Oreochromis niloticus: one gene and its partner. The protein of the gene in region 1 binds, or shares a complex with, the protein of each later gene. Links are inferred from orthologs where the notes say so. Each region holds a gene or a part of one and is shown in the gene's direction. Other genes may lie near its edges.

Region 1 (10,616 bases):
AGTCGGGGGCAATGAGAACCCTACCCTTAAATAAATCTTTTTCATTAGAGCAGCAAACACTTATCCCTTGGCTGTGTGAAGGGCACTATTGGTGTGTTTGAGCTGCTCAGCAAGGTCCCACAGGGAAGAGCCTAAACCCTCAGCGGTCTTCAGCCGGACACTGAGGCGGCCTAATTAAAGGGCACTTAAGCCCCACAATGTGCGGCGGTGCAAGTTGGAGTTGGTGGGGGTCCCCGGCGAGAGGGACAGAATTCATGGCACTCGTAGACAAGGGTGTCCAGGACAGAGGGACAGAAGAGGGCTATGTGCCAGAGACTTTGTTCACACAAGATGAAGAGTCAACAGCCTCCCCATCCCTCACCCCTCTTTAGCCATCCCCCCTAATAACCACCTTCTTCAGAGAAGCTGCAAACACAATGCTGTCCCACTCCCCTCCTCTTGCTCTCAATCACTGCTGGGACAATGAGGGGAACTCCCCCCCCCCAGCACCCTACCACCTTCACCATCCTTCTGCCTCTCCCCGACCCCCAAACAGACACTTCTTTTATTGAAATTCTTTGGTGTTCTAATCCTCCGCTTCCTCCAGGAGCAATAATGGACTCCCTGCGTCAGCCTTTTCCAGCGAGGCTATCATCCAAGCCTGCCTGGGTCACAAGTCCACCCCTCCTACTGGAGAAAATTACCCCGGCAGTGTCATTCCTGTCACAAGCAGCCCATCCACAGGCCATAAAACCCCAATACCACTGACCTTAAGAACATATCTGTATTTGTGGCTAGATATTTCTGTGTTTTCAGGTAAAGCATTGCTCCATGCGTTAATTAAAGGCGCGACACTGATTTGCCAAAATCCTTTCTCTGCAGTGCTTCCAGATTTTTATAATTCTTTTATTTTATTGTGCTTTTTTCACAGTCTCTATCAACCTTTTAACATTTGAACAATTTCCTTGTGGCTGCAATTCACTGAGATTCTGAACTCACGAGTTGGTAGATGTCTAGAAAGTGCTGGAAATACAAAATACTGGATGAACTAAAATGTAAACCCGCACATTTTCTCGAAGAAGTGATGAGTACAGATTATACTTTATATGTTGTGTAAAGCTCATACTTGCATTGCCTAGTCTTATAGTCTTGTTATCTTCATTTACTAAAGTGGAAACCTGGTCCTATGACATGAGTAATCATTAAGCAACGTGCATTTAGACAGGCATTTAAAAAGGCATTGAATTCATTATATATAAAAACTTCTTTTTAAACACCTAAGAAGAGGCTCATTACCTTCTAAGTTTCTTTGCTGCTCAGAACGACAGAAAAAAGCAGGACTTAATTATGATAATTAATAATTACACCTCATATTATATCACTATGCCTCCACAGTTGTGTCTTTAAGAGTAGAAGCATCACAGTCCAGACTCCAGGATGGCAGCAACCAGTTCAAAGTGTGTTGATGGTGACATCTGCTGGTCTTCTACAATCAGACGCTGCTGTTTATCTGCATATTGCAGTCTGATGAGTGAAATATACAGGTGCCAAATACTCACTAATCTTTATGGTATCAGTAGCAAGAGATGTACAAAAAATGACTTTTTCAAACCTTGTAGAAGCTTTTTTTAAACGGACCAAACTGACTGTGTATTCTTTGACTGATTTAGCTTAAACTGCGATATTATAACATTATATGGCACAATATACTAAAGAATGCAACTTGTAGGCCCTTTGAGTTTGATTTTTTGCCACATCACAGAATATATAACTGCTTACAATTTTTCATTCCTGATTTTATGACTAATGTAAGCTACACTAGTTTCATTTTGAAAAGGTTATGATTTTTTTCAAATTACAGAGCAATATTTGGACTTGAAACAATGTAGAAAAAACAAAGAAGCATTCAACTAATTGTTTAAACTATGCTATAACACATGATTTACATGAACTGTTTAGTAACAGAATTTCAAGGCAGACAACAACAAATATATATGGTAAACTTCCTGGGTACAGATTTTTTTCCTGTCCCATTTTTTAGTTAAAATGTTCTTCCCAGAATACATGCACATGAGCTACAGTAATGTCTGTAAACTTATGGATGATAATTGGATACAGATTTATGCCTTGAAGAAAATATTCCTGGCTAAAACCATGCAAAGAATTTACAGTTGATTCGCATCTTAAGGGAGACATGGAAATATGAAATGCATCTCATCATTAAAAGCTCTTGTTGCTGGCATGCATCCTATTAATGGAATCGCATTACATCTGAAAGACTTAGCTAAATGAGCCGTAGGCAAAACCCTAAGAGTAGAGAAGTGGAGTTTACAGAGGAATATGTCTAAACATCTGTTAGATTTATAGCTGTGGAGAAATGAATGCAACCGCATGACACCGAAGCTTTGATCTATCATCATCAGTGGTAACTAAAGTTGTAAGACAACTATTAAATGGCACTCTGGACTAAACCAACAGCTAATGATTTAAAATGGCATTTTAACATATAACAAAACCTGTTTTTCTTAATTACATTTTGGTATTAAGGTTTACCCGCACCATCATTTACACGAGTGTGTGTTACTGAAATCACTGAAATACTCATCTCTTGATGTCAAACGTGCCCAGATGAGTACTTTCATTATCCCCCTCCTCCTTATATGTATTTTATCAGTGTCATGTACTTGGTCATTGTTCCAGTGCCAGAGATGATCTCACAGCACTGACATGCATAGTTCTCATTTGAGCAGAGCTCTAGGTTTACATATCTGACACAACTATAACTCCCAAGGCTATGAGCACACGAGACAGTCCACTGTCAGACGGCTAAACCCGTTTGATGCCACTCATCACAGGGGTACCCTTGGATACAGTAGGTGTCACATAACATTTCATGCAAGCAGAGGACTGATGACCCCCTTGGCTTCAGGCTACTGTGGGCCAAAGTTAGTATATGGGTTTATCTTGGGATCTAGAACACGACACTGTTGATCTTTTGATTTTGAAACCACAGTATGATCCCGTTAGACATTTACTGTTGCCTCTAGCAAGGTCTCCTCTCATCTTGGCTACATGAAGAATCGAGAGCTTTCTTTTATGTGTGTGTATAAAAATTTTGCTACTCACCATTTTGGAATTTTTAGCAGCTGTGAGAGCGTGGCTGATACTGTTTTAACTTGTGACTCCTTGTGTGTTACTGTGGCAAAATGCTAGCCTGTTGAAACCTAATGTAGTGTCTGTGGAGACTCACTGTCATTGGGATTTTATCAGAATATTCACTTTAATTCAGTTTTATTTATCTAGCACCAAATCATAACAACATTTGCCTCAAGATTCTTTATATTGTAAGGTAAAGACCCTACAATAATACAGAAAAAACAGCGAAAACCCCAATATTAAGATGACCTGCTTTGGGGAAACGCTTTGGCGACAGCGGGAAGGAAAAACTCCCTTTTAACAGGAAGAAAACTCCAGCAGAACCAGGCTCAGGGAGGAGCAGCCATCTATTGTGACCAGCTGGGGGTGAGGGGAGGAAGACAGGACAAAGAAACACTATGGAAGAGAGCCAGAGATATAAAGAAAAATAACTAATAAACAGCAGAGGATGAATGTATGGATTCATTGGTAACTTGTGATGTACTAATATATTTCAAGAACTGTCTAAAGACCAATTTCTGTAGCAACTGGAGTGAATCCATTGCTGGATGATCTCTAGATAATTTTGTGTTTAATCTCTCTGTTCCATCATATATTTATAAAATGTTTGTTTTTCTAAAAAAAACAGCCCTTCAACAGCTTCTCCAACTTAGGGCTGTGGGGGGCTAGACTCTTACTCTGCTGATATGGGGGGAAAGTATGGTGACCTGCAATATTTTTTGTCCTTTGTCACATCCTGTAATTGTGACAGTGTCTAACATTTTGATTTAGTCTAGTTTTCCAAGGCACTGCTATCCAGTGGTTATGAACAAAGACCATCATCATAAATCATGTGCATGTTATCATCACACTCTCTTGCTGCCTTGGCTACAGTATGCCAAACAGGGGAAAACAAACAGAGGAAGTCACCAAGTCTAAAGCTTTGCAGATTTCAGTGGAATATGATGGAAAATACCTTAAAGACAAGCAAATGCAGCAACAATAAAGACTATGAAGCTACTTATAACAGGATGACACTGGTGGAATTTTTTGCCTTTATTCTTGTAATTTTGACATTTCACATGGTGGTGAATAGCGACATGAAGTGAAACAGTGCATGTCAGTCTCACAAAGCTCCTGGGGCTAAAAACAAGAAGTGAAATGCAAATCTCAGTATGTTAGCTGGCTACTTTTAGCTGCTCCTTTATTCACAAGGGGATGCCACTGCACGACACATCAAATATGGTGCCAGATTGACAGATTTTTACAGCAGATGACCTTCCCGCCACAACTCCTAAGGGATATGTATCTCCTCACTGGATCAAACTAGGCATACTTCCTTGTTAGGGGAATGTGGAAACAACTAAATGATGGAGCCAATGGCCAAACTAAGGTTGTGTTCCTACTGAAAGCCAAAGACTATTACCAGACAGAACATTAACTTAAGGTTTCTACATTTATTGATAGAAGGTGTGTTAGAAGATGATGAAACAAACCTTTTATGTTTATTGAATTTGCCTAAATTTACTCAGGGAACTGGGAAAGTAGCATTTGACTAAAATGCCATATTGTTTGTCCCCAATGTGCTAAATTCCAGGTCAATTCAGCACTAACGTCAGCATCTGGGCACCTTAAAGGTGCTGTTATAAACGGATTTAGTATTATATACCCAACTGTAAGGCAATTATTTTATTAATAATACAATAGTAAAATTATTTTATATATATATATTTTAGTTTTTTGTCATCAGAACTAAGACGTTTTTATTTATTTATTTATTTAGATAGTTATTTTTGTTTGTTTAAAAATAAAAATATAAGCAATTTAATTGTATAAACTATACTTCCTCGTTTTTAAAATCAGGATTCTTGTTATTAAACGTAGCCTATAAGTGCCAATCACTTTTCCCTGAGCTCCTCCTCTGCCCTGACGTCAGGGAGACGTAGCTACGTGTTTTCAGCGCACTACGCTGTGATTGGCTAAATAAGCTCACGTGACTTGAACACAGCGTATCACTGAAAATTGCGAGGAGCAAAAAAACTCCTCTGAAACGTGTGCCGTGAGAGAGCGACGATGACGTAACACCGTGGACCGTGCTGTGTTGTCACCAGCTGTTGGCTAAAAGAAGACGAAAGAAAAGTGGACGCGTCTCGATGGATTGCGTGTTCACGAGGGGACCGTAGGGCTTACAGCCACGTTCGGAACTGAAGGAGGGGAACCGGGCGACTAATGGAAGCCCCGCAGACTCGTCAGCCGCGCAGGGATAGTATTAGTTACATAACTGAAGCCATCGATAACGGAAAAACTGTGATAACGGAGTAGTGCCCGTAAAGGTCGGAGTTGAAGCCATTTTTCTCTGCAGTAAGTGCAATGATTTCATTAATTAACCCAACGCATTTGAACTTTTCTTGTTTTTTGCTGTTTTTGCTTTCATGCTTCACTTCAAGATCTTTTTAAGGATCAATTGTCTCCAGTGATGTTTCCAGACAACTTGCAAAAGAGCATGCTGGAATGATCAGCGCTTGCGACATTGTTTACTCTAGTCAATCAGTTGCTACTGAACCAGCAGACACCAGCTTGCTCAGCAGTTTTTATTCACGCACAAGGCTACTTCTTAAAATGTGTAAATCTCATTTGATCATATTTCAATGTTTTCTCCATTTATACCACGGCAACAGGCATCTGATTGGCTTGCAGATGTCAGGTTAAAGCCATCATATAACCCACTGTTGCTTTATTGCAATACATAGTAATACATGAAAGTCATTATTTCCTTTATGCAGTTTCATTTAAGGGCAACCAAGCTACATGATTCATTTTCTTTTAGTTGAGTTCACTACAGGTGTCTGTATAACCCTTTAAATATTACCGCTTACCATTAGAGGTTGTAGATAGTCAGAAGGTAACATCTTTGGTTTTTGTTTCAGGAGACCGTTACACAAGTCTTACCGCCGCCATCATGAACGTGGGAACAGCACACAGTGAGGTTAACCCCAACACCCGAGTGATGAACAGCCGGGGTATGTGGCTGTCTTACATCCTGGGCATCGGCCTCCTTCATATCATCCTGCTGAGCATCCCCTTTGCCAGTGTGCCCGTGGTCTGGACCCTCACCAACCTCATCCATAATCTGGTTAGTGGTGTAGTGGTGTCCCTCAAAGGACCAGCACAGCCACGGTTTGCCTTAACCTTTACTGACTAGGTCAAGTCAGGTCAAATCAAGTCGAGGGCACGTGCAGCAGAGTGAAGAGGTTTAGGATGTGGTGAATGAGAGTAAGTTGAGAGCTGAGTCAGAGACATAACTGCTTGCTGCTTCACTGCTCTTAGACATGCCTTTGGTTAATGAGGTGGTTCTTTAACAAGCTTCTTATTTTTTTTTTATTTTTTTTTTTCAAATTTTCATAGTTCCTTTTTTTGTCTTTTTCAAATTGGACAGGCCCACATTTCTTGAGAAGAGCGCAGTATTAACCACACCGTGATCCGGTTACACAAGTGAATTTGCTAGTTGAGGCATGGGCTGTTTCATCATGCAGCTTAAAAGTGTTCCTAATATTGAGAACACATCCGACTTTTACTTATGAGCTTTACAGCAGATTTAGATTTATTTTAAAAGAAGAAGAAGAGGAAGCCCTTAACTTAGTAAGTTAACTTCCTGGAAGATTTTGTACTGAACAAAGTTTGCACTTGTATTCACATATCGATAATCCACTAGTGTGGCAATCATGTGACAACAGTGTTCTGTTTTCCCCTTCTCTGTAGTGCATGTACCTGCTTCTTCATACAGTCAAAGGGACACCTTTCGAGACCCCTGATCAGGGCAAAGCTCGCCTCCTTACACACTGGGAGCAGATGGACTACGGTGTGCAGTTTACGGCTTCACGCAAGTTCCTCACCATCACACCTATTGTCCTGTAAGTTGCATTCCTCTGCTTTTTTGTTTAGTGCTGCTTTTTAAGGACCCCAAAAAACGCTAGAGGACAATATAATGGGACAACACCTGAAGCAAATATGTTAGGTCTAAGGAGAGTGTAGACAGGAAATGACAACCAGAGTAGGTCATCAGTTCTCTGACAAGGACATGATGTCTCACTACCTTGTCATCCATCAGCTATTTTGTGTGTGACAGGCCTAAAGCACAAGCAGCTCGCTATGAATGAACCTGTGTGTTTGTGGCTTAATCACAATGCCAGTACCTTTTATTCTGAGTGAACTTGCACACACTTATACCTCAGTGAAAAATGTATGCTGCATTATAAAATTGAGTGCTTACTATCCTTTGGCGTGAGTGTGGATTGATTAGCATACACACTGCTCCCTTATTAGCCAAGCCTGCACATTGAGAAGGGGCACAGTGTGTGCAGAAGTGCCGCTTGCTGCTTTCTTGGCCTTTTTCTGTCCTTATTAACCACCACAGTTCAGTTTACAGGAAGCACTCTGCTTCCCCAGGGTTTATTTGCCAGCTCAGCACGAACATTGTAGCGATAGCGCTTTTGCAGGTGTGGACTTTGTTTTTGCACTTATTTAAAGGGGCTCTTTGTCATTTTGTTTCGTAACCAGCGCCAGCAGGAAGAAGTGAGCGGTCAGTCTTTAGACTCCAGATGTAAAGGCTACACATCTGCTGAAATCTTCTGGGAGTGTTTTTGTACATGTCCTTACCTGTTCCGCTGAGAGCAGGAAATGCAATTCATCATTCTCACTTAACAAAAACCCCTTACTGCCACACCTAAAAGTGCGACTCATATTAAATCAGCATAGTTTTATTTATCCCAGCATCTCACCAGGATTAACACAACTCTGCAAACATACAGCCAGCACACAAGCCGAGTTTATATAGAACATGTATGTGGTTTTGGGGGGGCGGGGGTCTCAGGGGGCCATAATAAAAATAATAAAAAATCAATAAAATAAGTGTAGGATCACATGATGAAGAACTGTAAAATAAGATGCACACATTGCTGAATTCTGCTAAACTCTATAACAACATTTGTTTTTTACTTCTCATATTTTACTTTGGTTTCCTCTGAGGTTACAATAAGAAAAACTAGCTTACATCTTCCTCATTATGCCCCACTGCACTCATGCAAGATGTTGAACTATGTTGTAAATGTAGACTCTAATCTTTACAATCATTAGAATCTTAATATGTATTATATATTATGTCTCCAACCTCAAACTTTTATACCTTTATTGTGCAGACCCACTGTACTCTGTTTGCCTTTTTATGATGTCGCAGGTCGGGTTGAATTGTGGCTGAAGGCTCAATTATACAAATAATTTTTCAGATTGTTGCAAGTTGAAACATTTCTGTGATAAACACAAGCTTTATAGATATGTTGATTAGGTGTCATCGCTGAATGTAGAAATATTGAATAGGTAATAGAATATTTACTATTTATGAACAAATAGATTGTGTTATACATGAAATCTAGCCTTAGCTCTTTAGACCATTCTAACCACCCCCAATGCAAATGGAAAAAACGTTTATTGATGATGAGACAGAGAGCTTGGCCAGAGACTGCAGTGTGTGGAAGGCCTCTTGAGGCCTCTCGAGGATGGGCAGTGGCTCCCAAGCCGGTTAAGTCCCCTGAAACCTCTGAGAGAGGCAGACAGAGGAAGAGGGGAGGGAGAGCAATCAGAACAACTGCTGTGTGGGACAAGCAGGCATCTGTAGATAAGACCGAAAAGGGAGTGTTTATGTGGTCCTGCTCCCGAACTTCAGATAAATCATCTCATATTCATACATCACTTTAAGTGTTTTATCTACTTCTCATCCTCGTCAAAATTGGAATCATCAGTTAGCCTAACATGCATGTGTTGGGATTAAATTAGATGGATTTAGATTAGACTTTTTAGCTTGTTGGTGCTTGGAAGCCTAATGTAGATTTAGGCTTAGAGATTCTCATTTCAGCTCATTTGCTCATAACCAGTGTTGTAATTCTGTTGTTTGGCACGTTAAAATGGTCTCACATAACAACTCCTGGCACAGCTTTTGGGAATTAGGAAACATCTGGGCGTGATTGCCAGAATAAAACTAAGTGAAAGGTTTTTTATACTTAAAGGGACATTTTTTTAAGGAATTTTCCTTTACTAAAGACATTGTGGTTTTCTTCAGGCTTTTAACGGACTGCCTTGCTTTCATACCAGCAGAGAGAACTCTAGACATAAGATTTGTGTCCTTTGCTCATTGTAATCTTCTCCTTTTTTTGTGCCTATTCTTGATTCAGGTATATATTAACCAGCTTCTACACCAAATACGATCGGGCCCATTTTGTTGTCAACACTGTCTCCTTGCTCACGGTACTCATTCCCAAGCTGCCCCAGCTGCACGGTGTGAGGATCTTTGGGATTAATAAGTACTGACACGGCAGAAGAGGACACCTCCTTCCTGCGTCCCTGTGGACTGCTGAGAGCACACAGAGTATCAAGCTTCTGATTTGGCTGCAGAACCATTGGGATCTGTGGTCGTTTGGCGCCTCGCTCTGCAGAGCAGCACTCTAAATAAAGCCTATTGAGCATACTGCCATGGTACCAAACCCCAGGATGGAGACACAAAACACTAGAGAGCACAAAGGGAAAGTGTTCAGTTGTGATTATTTGTGGAAAATCTTCTTTGAGTCTCGTGATTTTTCCAGAGACATTTTAAAAGGATTTCTCAAAGTATTGTGTACATTTCTGTAGACGTTCTCAAATGTGACAAGTGCCGGGGGAACAGGACAATGTAGTTGTACAAATGTGGTGTGCCATTTTACACTACTGGCACTCTGAGGCAGTAATCAAAGTTATTTTGTATGTAATGATACGCTGCTGTATTTATTCAGCTTCACTCTTGCGTGTAGCTTCCTCTTCCTTGAGGTTTCTGAGCTTAGAGGAGAGCAACAATAGTTTAATGAAATGGTAGGGGACCTGTGAAGTGCAGCGGAGGCGAGACGCAAGAAACCACAAGATTTTATATTTAGCCCTCGCTGTTCTGCTCAGGGCCAAGATTGGGAAGTTAAGCAGCCTTTATTTTTATCTGACCATTTCCTTATTTGGACACCTCTTGTCCTGGTTTGTGCGCTGCAAACCTCCTGTCTGTGTGCAAAAGCACTCGACTGATCTGACTTATCCAAAGGTCCTGCAGTCTGGCTCTGGAGATGGGCAACATATGTTCACGTATGTTTGTTCCTGCTCTGTAAAAGTCCTCAGGATCTGTTATGTTGAGCATGAGTCAGCTGTGTCTGCAGCTCAAACCAGTCAGCAGATTGCATACTGAGTTCTATGTTTATTAGGTACGCTTTGTGCAGTCTGATGCACTGTAGCACTGTTGCTTTCATTTACCTAAGAATTAAAAATCCTCCAGAATGATGAAAACAATGCAACAACAAAGCACTCAGGACAAAGATAGAAAAATAAACCCTTGCAAAGCGGGATTAATCACTTTGTCTGCCAGCTGTAGCTGCCGTTTTTCTTTAATGCTTTCTTTCCTAAAGCATCCTGATCTGGATCTAGGCCAGATATTTGGT
Region 2 (10,991 bases), on another chromosome or scaffold:
CCTCCCTAAGCGCCTGTCCCACACTCCAGCCCAGTTGACGGCGGTAATGGACTTTAGTACCGCTTACCAACCCCTTATTAAACACAAAAGAAGAAGAAGCGGAAGCGGAAGAAGCAACTTGGCGTGTTGTTGCTAACTTATCAGCACCTCATGCTATTGTAATTGAAGCTCCTCAAACATTTAAAATGAATAAGCTGGGTCAAGCACAAGACTTTGAGTCATATGAGATCGAAGAGCCGAGCGACGAAGAGCGGGCCGCCAGCAGGTGCGAGGATAATACGTGTGTTTATTTTTAGGGGCCGATTAGGCTAAAGTGGAGATAGCTAGCTGGGAGCTAACATGTAAACAAACTGGAATAGCAGGGAGACTGCGCTGAGCCGCTCTTTGCGGTGAATTTATTTTAACGTGACATGGATGTTACTGCTTAATTATCATTAATTATGATTATGATGCTCAGGATTTTCTATGAGTCTGTTGTGGCCAGTGCAATCCTCTATGCTGTTGCATGCTGGGGGAGCAGGCTGAGGGTCGCAGATGCCAACAGACTCGATAAACTGATTCGTAAGGCCAGTATTGTTGTGGGGATGGAGCTGGACTCCCTCAAGGTGGTGTCGGAGAGGCGGATGTTGTCCAAGATAAAGACAATGTTGGATAACACCTCCCACCCACTCCATGACATGCTGGTCAGTCACAGGAGCACGTTCAGTGGGGGACTGAGATTACCGAAAAGCACCACTGAACGACACAGGAAATCATTCCTGCCTGTGGCCATCTCCCTGTACAACTCCTCCACTTAACACACTGTTTACTGCAACAGCTACACCCTTCTTGCACATGTTCTTTTCAGCTATTCTTAGTTGGTGTATTGTCTGTCTTTGTTAGTGTTTGTTTATAATGGAGCACTGTAACGAAAAATAATTTCCCCTAGGGATCAATAAAGTATTCTGATTCTGATTATAGAAAGGCGGCAGATTTTTATAAGTCTAAATGTTACAGGCAAGCGGATGAGAAGAAAATAAAAACACGAGTGCAGATACTTATTATTGCCGTAATTAGCCAAGAATTTTCTGGATTTATTATTATGGCACTTAATTAGAGAAAATTAAGCAAGACGTCATAATTATTAATATTTATAAGTGATGTCCTGAGACGTCTTGATGTGTCCAATCAGAAGTCCAAAACTTCAAAAGAACTTGTCTACCTGAAGATATGAAATTTCATTATTAAAGCAGCAAATATGTATGTACCGATGGATTTAGTGAGTACAGGCAACTTATTTTGGTTTTGAGCTAAGCTTAAAGCGACAGTTTCGACGTGGATTAATGGTTTCCAAAATTAAGTGCTTAATTATTTGGTCTGTTAAACACTATACGATGCCACCACATGATATAATGTCACATGTGCAGAATAACACATGAATGGTTACTTCAATTTAGTAATCTCCTGGGTTTGAGAGTCTGTTTTTTTTTCTGAAATCTTTCTCTCTGTTTTAGTTCGGAGGATGAGTTGGACGTGCTCCTGAACGGGACTCCGGACCAGAAAAAGAAGCTGATCAGAGAGTATCTAACCGGGGAGAGCGAGTCATCCAGCGAGGATGATTTTGAAAAAGAGATGGAGGCAGAGCTCAGCTCCACCATCAAGACCATGCAGGGAACCTGGGTACCAGCAGCAGGTAACACTCAGCTGCTAGTATTTGTATTTTCATAGTGATATGTCTGGAATTACTTTGCTATCAACTGATTAGATGGCAGTAGAGCTGGGCGATATAAGATTTTTTTCATATCACGATATGTTTTTTTCATTTCAGGCGATAACGATATATTTCACGATATAAGCCAAATAACTATATTTGTAAGATTTAAATGTGCCGTTGCTCACAAGTAAAATGTGAAATAATTAGCAGCTTGTTTTAATTAAAATATTTATTTCCCATAATAAGTTTAACAGGGCAGATGTACTTAAGGAACATGAGACTTCAGTTTCAGATAAATAAAGGCAAATATTGCAAACTACACAAAACGCAGCCGCTAAAGCATTTAAGTTTCAAAATAGAACAAACAAAACAGACTACTAAATTGTCAATTCCACTTAGAAACAAAATATTAATTCTAAAAATAAATCTTAGGTTGTTTTACAGAAGAACAGACAAAATTGACTAACTTTTGTCAATATCAAATAAACTGAGAACTAAAAGAAAATTCTCAATCTCTCCTTGTTGTATAGCTTAGCTTTTCAAACAGTTTTAACAGTTACTTTAGTCTGACAAAAGCCGAATGACGAATTAGCGCTTTCAGTCAGAGATTGAGCATGCACCGCTTTATTGTATTTCCAGACTTGCTTTCGGCACAATTTACAGTGCGCGCTACTCTGTTTTTTGTCAGACTTGAAATAGCCGAAATACCTTCACACTACGGAACTTCTGTGGCCCTTCCGTTCGACAAGCTCTCCGGCATTGGAACCATCATCTGTTTTTTCTTTGGTAACCTTCGCTCACGCTCTCGGTTGATTTTTCTCTAGTCGGCAAACTCATTTCCTTCATTACCTGGGCTGCACGGCTGCAAAAACAAATACACATGTGCGCCTTGGCGCTTGTGCTGTACGTAACAAGTCACGTGACGTGACGCTGCGGCTGTGATTGGTTCGGCTCTGCGCTACTTAATTTGGATTGGCTGTTGTTTTTTTGTTTTTTTTAAGAGGACAAGAGAGATGAGGCCTATCGCAATAGTTTAATTTTTCTATCGAGAAAAAGTTATTTCGCAATACATATCGTTATCGTTTTATCGCCCAGCTCTAGATGGCAGCTATAGCCAAAAGCTGTGTGTTAAGCTTAATCTTAGCTAATTCTAGTCATTGAATGAGCTGACAGTGTTTGTGATGTTGTTGTTTGGAGCATTTTTAATGAAAATATGTTAAAATAATCACCTGTGTGTCTGTGAAGGTTCTCAGTAATCCAGGTCATCGTAGTCTAAGGAGCTTGGAAAGAAAAGCATCTGGTCTTCTTTAAGTTGCTTGAAGACTTTTCACTTCTCATCCAAGAAGCTTCTTCAGTTCTAGTGAAGTTCCTAGTTTTTCACTTTTACAATTTTATACTGTAATGCACTCGGGAATGACATCACTCCTGAGTTCCGACATCTAAGGTATCTGGAACACAGTATAAGCTCAACAATACAACAAACAAAACAAGTACTAGGAAGAGTAGTGTGTTGACATAGGAAGAAGCCAAGTTTAATCCCACGGTTAACTAACTAACTTATCTTGCTGTGTGAGACAGACCGTCTCTGTAAATACAGTTTGTGCTTACGAGTTGTGTATTTGTTCTCTGGTAGAGACCTCAAAAAGACCAGGAGGAGGAGAAGAAGAAGGGGGAGGAGGTGCTGGTGGTGGTCCTGGACTTTCTAACCCACAGATGTATGATGAGGTTTATTTTGACTCTGACTCAGAGGAAGACGGCACACCGAGTAAGAGAACTGGTTTTCCTGCTGTGGTTACCAACAGTCATTAAGATGTCATTAGATGACAGAGTACATGTACAGCCTACCACTAACAGTTTTTGAAATTTCTTCTGTAGGCAGCTCCACAAGCCAGAGGCGGAGACAGCGGGTCATTCCGACCAATGACGAGCTGCTGTACGACCCCGACCAGGATGACAGAGACCAGGCCTGGGTTGACGCCAGGAGGAGAGAGTAACACAGATTCTCTTACAATTTCTAAAACACATGCCACCAGATGTTTTTGCTTCTTTTTTTTAAAAAATTTCCCTCCAGAGACTCATTCTGCCTCTTACCTTCCTGTGTAGGTACAGCAGAAGAAAACGACCTGCTGCAGCTTTTCACTCAAAGCTTCGCCACCCTCAGGCTTTACCCCACAGCGACGCTGTTCTTAACTGTCCCGCATGCATGACGACACTCTGCTTGGACTGTCAGAGGTGAGGCTCCACAGCAGGTTTCAGAACAGTGTGGATCCCTGTGTTAACCCAGCAGCAGTTTAAGGTGTCGGCCTAATGTTACCTGAGATCAGAGAGCAGAATCCATCTGAGAAAGTCTGACTGATGATGGAGTAGTGTTACATATACCCTGTCTGATAATCGCCAAGAGTGTTAGTTTCTTTTTTACCACACTAAAACATGCTTAATGTCCTACATGGTGGAGATTCAGTCCAGCATAGGGAAAACTACTAGAACTTAATAATACTGACTTTTTAGAAAAGTTTTCATTTCATTTGAAACAAATATTCCAGAGGTCATGATTTCTTATATTCTTGATTGTTTTGCAGTGTTTGTATTTTTTCTTGTTTATGCACAGCGTGCCAAAGTGTCACATGCAAGATATTTCAGGAGAGCTGAGGTCACAAGTTGTGATTGAGAACAACATCATGTTGTATTCAATAAAGCCGCTTTCTATTCCTAATGTGACACCAAAGCTACACCCATGTTTTCATATATGCACAGGACTAGTTCCCATGTTTGAAAAGCTGGAATGATTAAATATGTGATGAAAACATTAATAAAAACTAGTTATTGCTGACTAAGGAGAGCCAACGGGCCATTGCCCAACTCCCATTACATGTCCCTGTCCCGTATTGTTGGATTAGGGATCATAGTATCACAGTGAAAGCTGTTTTGACAACACAAGATATGTGAGCCATTTTATACTCTAGATCAGTTTTTTTTTTGTTTGTTGTTTTTGTTTTTTTTAAAGAAAGATTTGAAGTGATTGAAAATTATCTGCCTGCCCAATGAGAAATTTTCACTATAGAGATTTTGTCATTTTAAAATGTAACGACACGTCTCTGTTGGGTCCATTCAGGCACGAGAAGTACCGGACGCAGTATCGAGCAATGTTTGTGATGAACTGCACAGTCAAGAGAGAGGAGGTGCTGCGTTACAAAAACCAGCAGGAGAAGAACCGGAGGAACAGGAAGAGGAGGAGGGGACAGCAGACAGAAACGCCTGCGGATGAGACTCCAGCAGCAATGGGGATGGATGCTGATGAGGTGTACCACCCAGTACAGTGCTCTGAGTGCTCCACTGAGGTGGCCGTGTTCGATAAAGATGAGGTCTACCACTTCTTCAACATCCTGGCCAGCCACTGCTGATAAGGACTGAACGAGCTCTGAGCTGGACTTTTTCTCTGGCTTCACACCTCGTGGCTCAGATCAGTGTCTTTATATCCAAAAATGCTCACCAAAGCAGAGCTAAAGGGGAGTGAACACTGGACGTGTGCTCATCACTTTAAATTAACGCTGTTATTGTTCTGTATTTGCAGGATGTGTAAATGTCCATCTTCTTTTTTTTTTTGCAAATAAGATCATGGCGCCAGTGATAACTTGTCAGTGTTGTGTTTACAGCAGTTACAACAGTTTTTACTAGATTTTTCCTTCAGTGTCACGGCTGAGATGGCAAATCAGTCTGTGTGTAAAGCTTCACCTGATCACGTTTATCATCCATATTTTGAACACATTGTTCCACAGATAACTAAAATGAAATTCTTTTCAGGATTAGAAAAATTGTCCCAGCTCATGTCTGTAAAACTTTAAGTGCTGTGCCTGAACACAACCTATTGGCGTTGACTCCAGTGTTTTTGTGGCTTGTCTTACTGCGTGTGTAATTTGAAGAGCACAAATGTTTAAATTGGTCACACAAATCTGATTTATTAAGGTACAGGTCAGCTGTTGCATTTAGATTTCATAGTGCAGGTCTCCTCTGTATGAATCCTGCACCTCACCTCCTCCCACATGATTACACAAATTCCTCAGCAATTTCTGACAGGATTAGTTAGCCCCTATATTAAAACATTGATTTTCCTTTAGCTTCCCTCATTAATCTGAATTACAATGCTGTTTCTATTAACAAGAACATGATCAAACCTGTGCTTTGTTTTATTAGATTTTGTGTTATTTTGTTAGCAGAATACTTCAACACTCATAGTGTCTGCTTGTTTTCAACCAATTTACACCGCTGTAGTTACAATGCTGGTCGTTATTGTGCATTGTTAGTAGAGCAACCACAGAACTTTCTACTACCATCAGTGTATTTTTGCAATTTTGCCATCATGCTAATTTGGCCTGTCTAGTAATTGTGGCCATAAATAATATAGACTAAATCACACTGACACTGAAAGTTGAGACTTCTAAAAGTTTTACATTTGCTGCTTTTTAAAAAAAAAAATTTAATACAAAGAATACAGTTTTCTGAAACTTTTGAAAGGCTGCATCATTTTTTCTTTTTCATGTCTGATTTTGAAATTATTTGTCAACATTGACAAATAATCTCTTCTGAGATGGGTAATTTTCGGTATATGCTGCTACAGTTATGGCTTCGGTAAGTAAATGTTCTGATGTCCATCACAATTGTAGGCATAGAAACAGTGCTTTGTCTGCCTCACTTATACACTGTTGGCATGATCATAATATAGATTCCTGCCGTTTAAATGGTAGTTAACTGATTTCATAAATACCTGTACTTCCTACGCAAATGTTCTTCAAACTGGGGAGTATAGCATTTTGTTGGGGAATCTATTCAGCCATGGAATAATCCACATTTAGTGCTTTAGTGAGTATTTGGGTCAGTAGAGCGCTTTGGTTTGGGGGGTGACTCGAAATCTGTTTTAAAGAACCAAGATATTTGATGCTTAATGGAAGGAAATACACTAAATGAAGAGATGGGCACACAGTTAAGGTAAAGATAAACAAGCAAATAAAAATAGTGTATAAATGCATCTTTTATGTGGTGTTAAAAGTTGTTTTTGACTCTTATTTTGAAATTAGGAAGGTGGAACACCCTGGTCTGCGTCACAATCATACGGTTGAACGCGGAGTTGTGATTTGCCGGAAACCAGCGCCTCGCGATTAAACCTTACGCGAGCAGAAAACACCTCAGCACGAAACATAAAGAGGATAAGAGCCGTGAGGAAGGAACAAAGTTCATTTTAAAAGTTAGGACCATGGCACTTGGAGAATGTTGGAAGCAGTTATCCTGGTTTTATTACCAGTATCTTCTGGTGACAGCCTTGTACATGCTGGAGCCCTGGGAGAGGACGGTGTTCAGTATCCTTTTTCCGTGTTGAAGTGGCTTCTGAAGGGATGTTCGACCTAGCTAATTTGCTAACTTTAGCTGAACGCTAGCCTGACTGACCTAGATATTTCACTGATAGCGCTAACTTTACGTAAAAGTAAACATAGCTTCACTTTTTTTGTATAAACCATTTACAGCATTTAAACACACGAGCGGTGATTTATGGCAAATTCGGCATATAGACCGAGTCGGCCCTTCTTATCGTTGAAACCTAAAGAGTTCACAGCTTAGCCAATTCTGAATTGAACACTCGTCCGCCACATTGTAGAGACGGCTTTAAATGTTATTCTACAAGTTATGTGTTTTAACCTGTGATTGATTTGTGTAGAAACGGATGAAAACTGAAGTTGTGTGTGCCTGACAATATCTAAACCGCTTCCTAGTTCATAACCTATTTGACATAACATAAAGAAACGTGTTTGTAGTGACAGCCATGATTAAAGCGTCAAATTCCTTTCATTATTATACTAAAGATTGTTTCACACTTTGTTGTAGTGCTGTGTACTTTTCCTTTCATATAGAAAACAAGCTTTCAAGTCCAGTGTGTGTGCGGTTAGTTGACTCTTTGGGCGGCATCAAAGCTAAGCTAGCTTCAGCTACTTAAGAGAGTCGGTCAGGTGATTGTCGCGTGAAGTACATACACGTTACGTATGACCTTTTATTTTAATTTTATGTTTTTAAAAAGCGCAAACAATTTTAACTGAGCGAAGTTAATAATTAGAGGGTACCCCCTGTTGATGGTTTTATGACTGCACTTTGATCTGTGGCAGTGCAGGAAGTCATCAGTATCACATTCTGTGCATGATGTATCGTCTTCCTACAGTTGGCGTCACTGTCAGGGTGTAGCTCGTCTCCCTCCGAGGATCAGGTGTGTCTTCCTGCTCTTTATCAGCCTGCATCTCATCAAATAACGTAACGCAGTCGCTCAGGGATCACACGGGTTATTTTATTGTTGATCTACAGAAAGCGGATTATGGCCAAGATGAACTTAACTTCGAGTGGCTGATGAGACTTTTGTACTTGAATGTAGGTTTTATAAGTATTTGAGGGTTTGGGTTTTTTTTTCCTATTTCTTTTCCTATCAGGAAGGACAAGTGAATGAGTGTTGGAAAATGTCAGTGACTGACAAAATTTCTTGGTTGACAAATCTGTTAGGAAATATATGGTCACTTGATAGAAGGTCAAAGGTGTACAGTTCTGTAGAGAGCTGTGACCTCCAAGGTTATTTTCATTGCAAAACATCCTGTCACAAGTTTAAAATCTGTTTTGTACAACATTTACAGCTAAATGGAACAAAAATAAACACTGAAGTTCCTCCACCTAAAGTTTCCCGGTACTGTAAAAGATTTTTTTGAGTCATAACTTAAAAATGTATATTTATCATGTAAGATGATAAAAAGCAGCAGTTTCTGTCCTCAAAGAACCAGAAGCTTTCAGATGTGTGTATGATGTGGTTGCTAATTTTTCTTGTAAGCATGTAATTTTGTCAGGCAAGACAACAGTGTCACTTTTTCCTACTGGAAGATGTTCCCTTTAGAAAGCAGCAAGTATAAGAGCTGCAGAGCCTTCTGCAACTTGCCTTTTTGTGCAGTGGTGATCTTGTATGATAGCTATCAGCAAGGACATTCAACAGTGAAAATGTCTATTGGACCATGCTTTGAGCAAATGCAAAGTGATGGCCTCTTTCTAGCAACAGTCTGCTTTCCTGTTTACATTAGCAAGGTAATTATAGAGCATGTAAACATGCTTTATGCTCAACAGTGATTTTGAGAGCATTATTGTGGCTATCTCTGTACATAGTTTTAAAGTTATTTCAAATATTTATTTATTTTTCTCACTGCTTTCTGGAATGTAAATCCTGCCGAACGGGTTTGAAATTCTTTCCAATTGCTAGAATAGCTACAACTAAAGTTTGACTTGCCTTACTGAAATTATGAGACTTTGTGTCTACACTTTAGCCACAGCTGTTATACAAGCCAGCTAACATTTTGCAGGGCTTGTATTGATATATTTTCTATTCACAAACCAGGAAAATAGGTCACTGACTGTTTGGTGGGCAAACATTTGCATGCAGGTGTAACTGGCTGCCAGCCTGTATCCATTAGCAGGCAGTGTTTGTTGGATGTAAAGCACATTACCAGCTACTGATTGATGAAGGCACGTCAGTTAGAGTTTGTGTGTGGTTCCCTGCAGTAAAACTTGAATGTCTTCAGAAATTCCTCCTTAACCTCTCTTCTTCAGACTCCCTGCTGATCTCTGTGGCTGGTATGGCCATATACACCGGCTATGTGTTCATGCCACAGCACATCATGGCCATCTTGCACTACTTTGAACTCATCCAGTGATCCAGGGATCCGGATCGTCCTGTATGTCTGTGGCTTCCTGTCAGTCCATCTGCCTACTCCCCATTCACCTGTCTTTCTGCTGTCCTCTGGGGTTCTGCAGCAGAAATTCTCTCCTTTCCAAGACTGATCCCGTATCAACAGTCAAGTATCTGGCTGTGAGGGTCATGCCAGATACTTTGTTGGACACTGTAGGCAAAGAAACGGTTCTCACGACTGTTTCTTTGCTACTGACGTTCAGATTGTGAGCAGTGCTGGGCTTGGAGGCAAAGCCTTGAAAAGGGGTGCGCTTGGTTTTGATTCACGTTAACATGTTTTTTTGTGCTGTGCCTCTCTCTCTCTCTCTCTCTCTCTCTCTCTCTCTCTCTCTCCCCCCCTCTCTCGGCTCAATTATGCCTTAATGTGTGTACGTTAAGAGGACTACTTTGTTAAATTCATTGATACACTAAAACAGTTGTTGTCATAGTTACATTCAGAGATGGGACACAGGATGATGGACAGAATATGTAGAATAAAAAAATACACAATTTTCTGAGCAGGACCAGATCCGGAGGGCACCTGATTCTCAATCCAAGCTGTCAAGTTGTTGCTCTTAGGAACTGAAACTCTTTTCCACCTTAACTATTTCCCATCGCTTTTATGCTATGGTTTGTACATACGGGCACTGTAACTGTTGATCGTGTGCATCATCAGATGGTTCAGTCAAAAGGTTAATCCTTTTACAATATACAGGTCAAAGGCATGACTTAAACTGCTGAGTAACTTTCAGTGACTTCCTCTCAAATCAAATGCACTTGCAGTGAGTTAAATGAGTGATTTATTCTCCACGTTGGAGATGCAGATCTATAATAAATGCTTTTATTTCTACTTCCATCACTACAATAAGGACTTTCATCCATATCCCATTAGTCCAAGCTGGGTCAGAATGTAAGTGTGATGAAGCAGTCTGGGCATTTTAGAGAATCTTGGTCTAAAACACCTGCCCACTTTTAAAGGATTTGTTGCCCACCTGAAGGTCTTGAGTGGACATGAGTTGACTCAATTTGCCGTATTCCAAATTTGGTTGTTCCCCATAAATTATTTCAATATTGTTCAGTTGTCTCTTTTCCCTTCCACACACATTGTCATTTTTTTTTTTTTTAAGTGGCACTGTAATCACTTAAAATTCCAGGGATCAAATAAATAGTCATCACAGTGTGAACTTGCTGCAACAAAGCTGTGTTTGACACATCCATTTGTTATCCTTTTTTTTAAAAAAAACTTTACACTCCAGCCCTTATTGCTGTAAGCCAAATTAACAAGGTTTGATTTTGGGTACAGCAGTTCTGCCTCCACTAGGTACTGCTGTTTTACTGTCATCACTGCAAATCAAATAGAGTTATCAGTTGCACAGAATACACCTCCAAACTACTGAATGAAGTTTCATTGTCATAATGACACAAGTATTAATTTGGTGATGCAGAAAATGTAGAGATGTTAAGCTTGATTTTAATCTGCTGCCAAGTCTAATTTAGACCAATGGAACTGCAGCAACTAGAGTACACCAAGAACACCTATACAGTCAATATTAGTAAATT

What was found.
Region 2: the proteins of ormdl3 (region 1) and sptssa are in contact, whole or in part, in a cryo-EM structure (PDB 7CQI), measured with the Homo sapiens proteins. The link is inferred for Oreochromis niloticus from reciprocal best matches to the Homo sapiens genes ORMDL3 and SPTSSA. Residues at the interface, in NP_001307730.1 of Homo sapiens: Val36, Leu38, Ser39, Ile40, Pro41, Phe42, Ser44; in NP_612145.2 of Homo sapiens: Ile44, Tyr50, Thr51, Val54, Phe55.

Annotation. Positions count from the first base shown.
Region 1 is NC_031973.2:5,869,562-5,880,177, forward strand, and holds the start of ormdl3 (ORM1-like protein 3), read left to right. Parts: upstream 1-5,155; 5' UTR 5,156-5,475; intron 5,476-6,041; 5' UTR 6,042-6,073; coding exon 6,074-6,247; intron 6,248-6,873; coding exon 6,874-7,025; intron 7,026-9,338; coding exon 9,339-9,474; 3' UTR 9,475-10,616. UniProt on the Homo sapiens protein: Plays an essential role in the homeostatic regulation of sphingolipid de novo biosynthesis by modulating the activity of the serine palmitoyltransferase (SPT) in response to ceramide levels.
Region 2 is NC_031983.2:4,402,947-4,413,937, forward strand, and holds the start of sptssa (serine palmitoyltransferase small subunit A), read left to right. Parts: upstream 1-6,806; 5' UTR 6,807-6,941; coding exon 6,942-7,044; intron 7,045-9,313; coding exon 9,314-9,417; 3' UTR 9,418-10,991. Other genes in the region: eapp (E2F-associated phosphoprotein), read left to right, coding at 186-265, 1,494-1,672, 3,327-3,458, 3,569-3,683, 3,797-3,925, 4,806-5,094. UniProt on the Homo sapiens protein: Component of the serine palmitoyltransferase multisubunit enzyme (SPT) that catalyzes the initial and rate-limiting step in sphingolipid biosynthesis by condensing L-serine and activated acyl-CoA (most commonly palmitoyl-CoA) to form long-chain bases.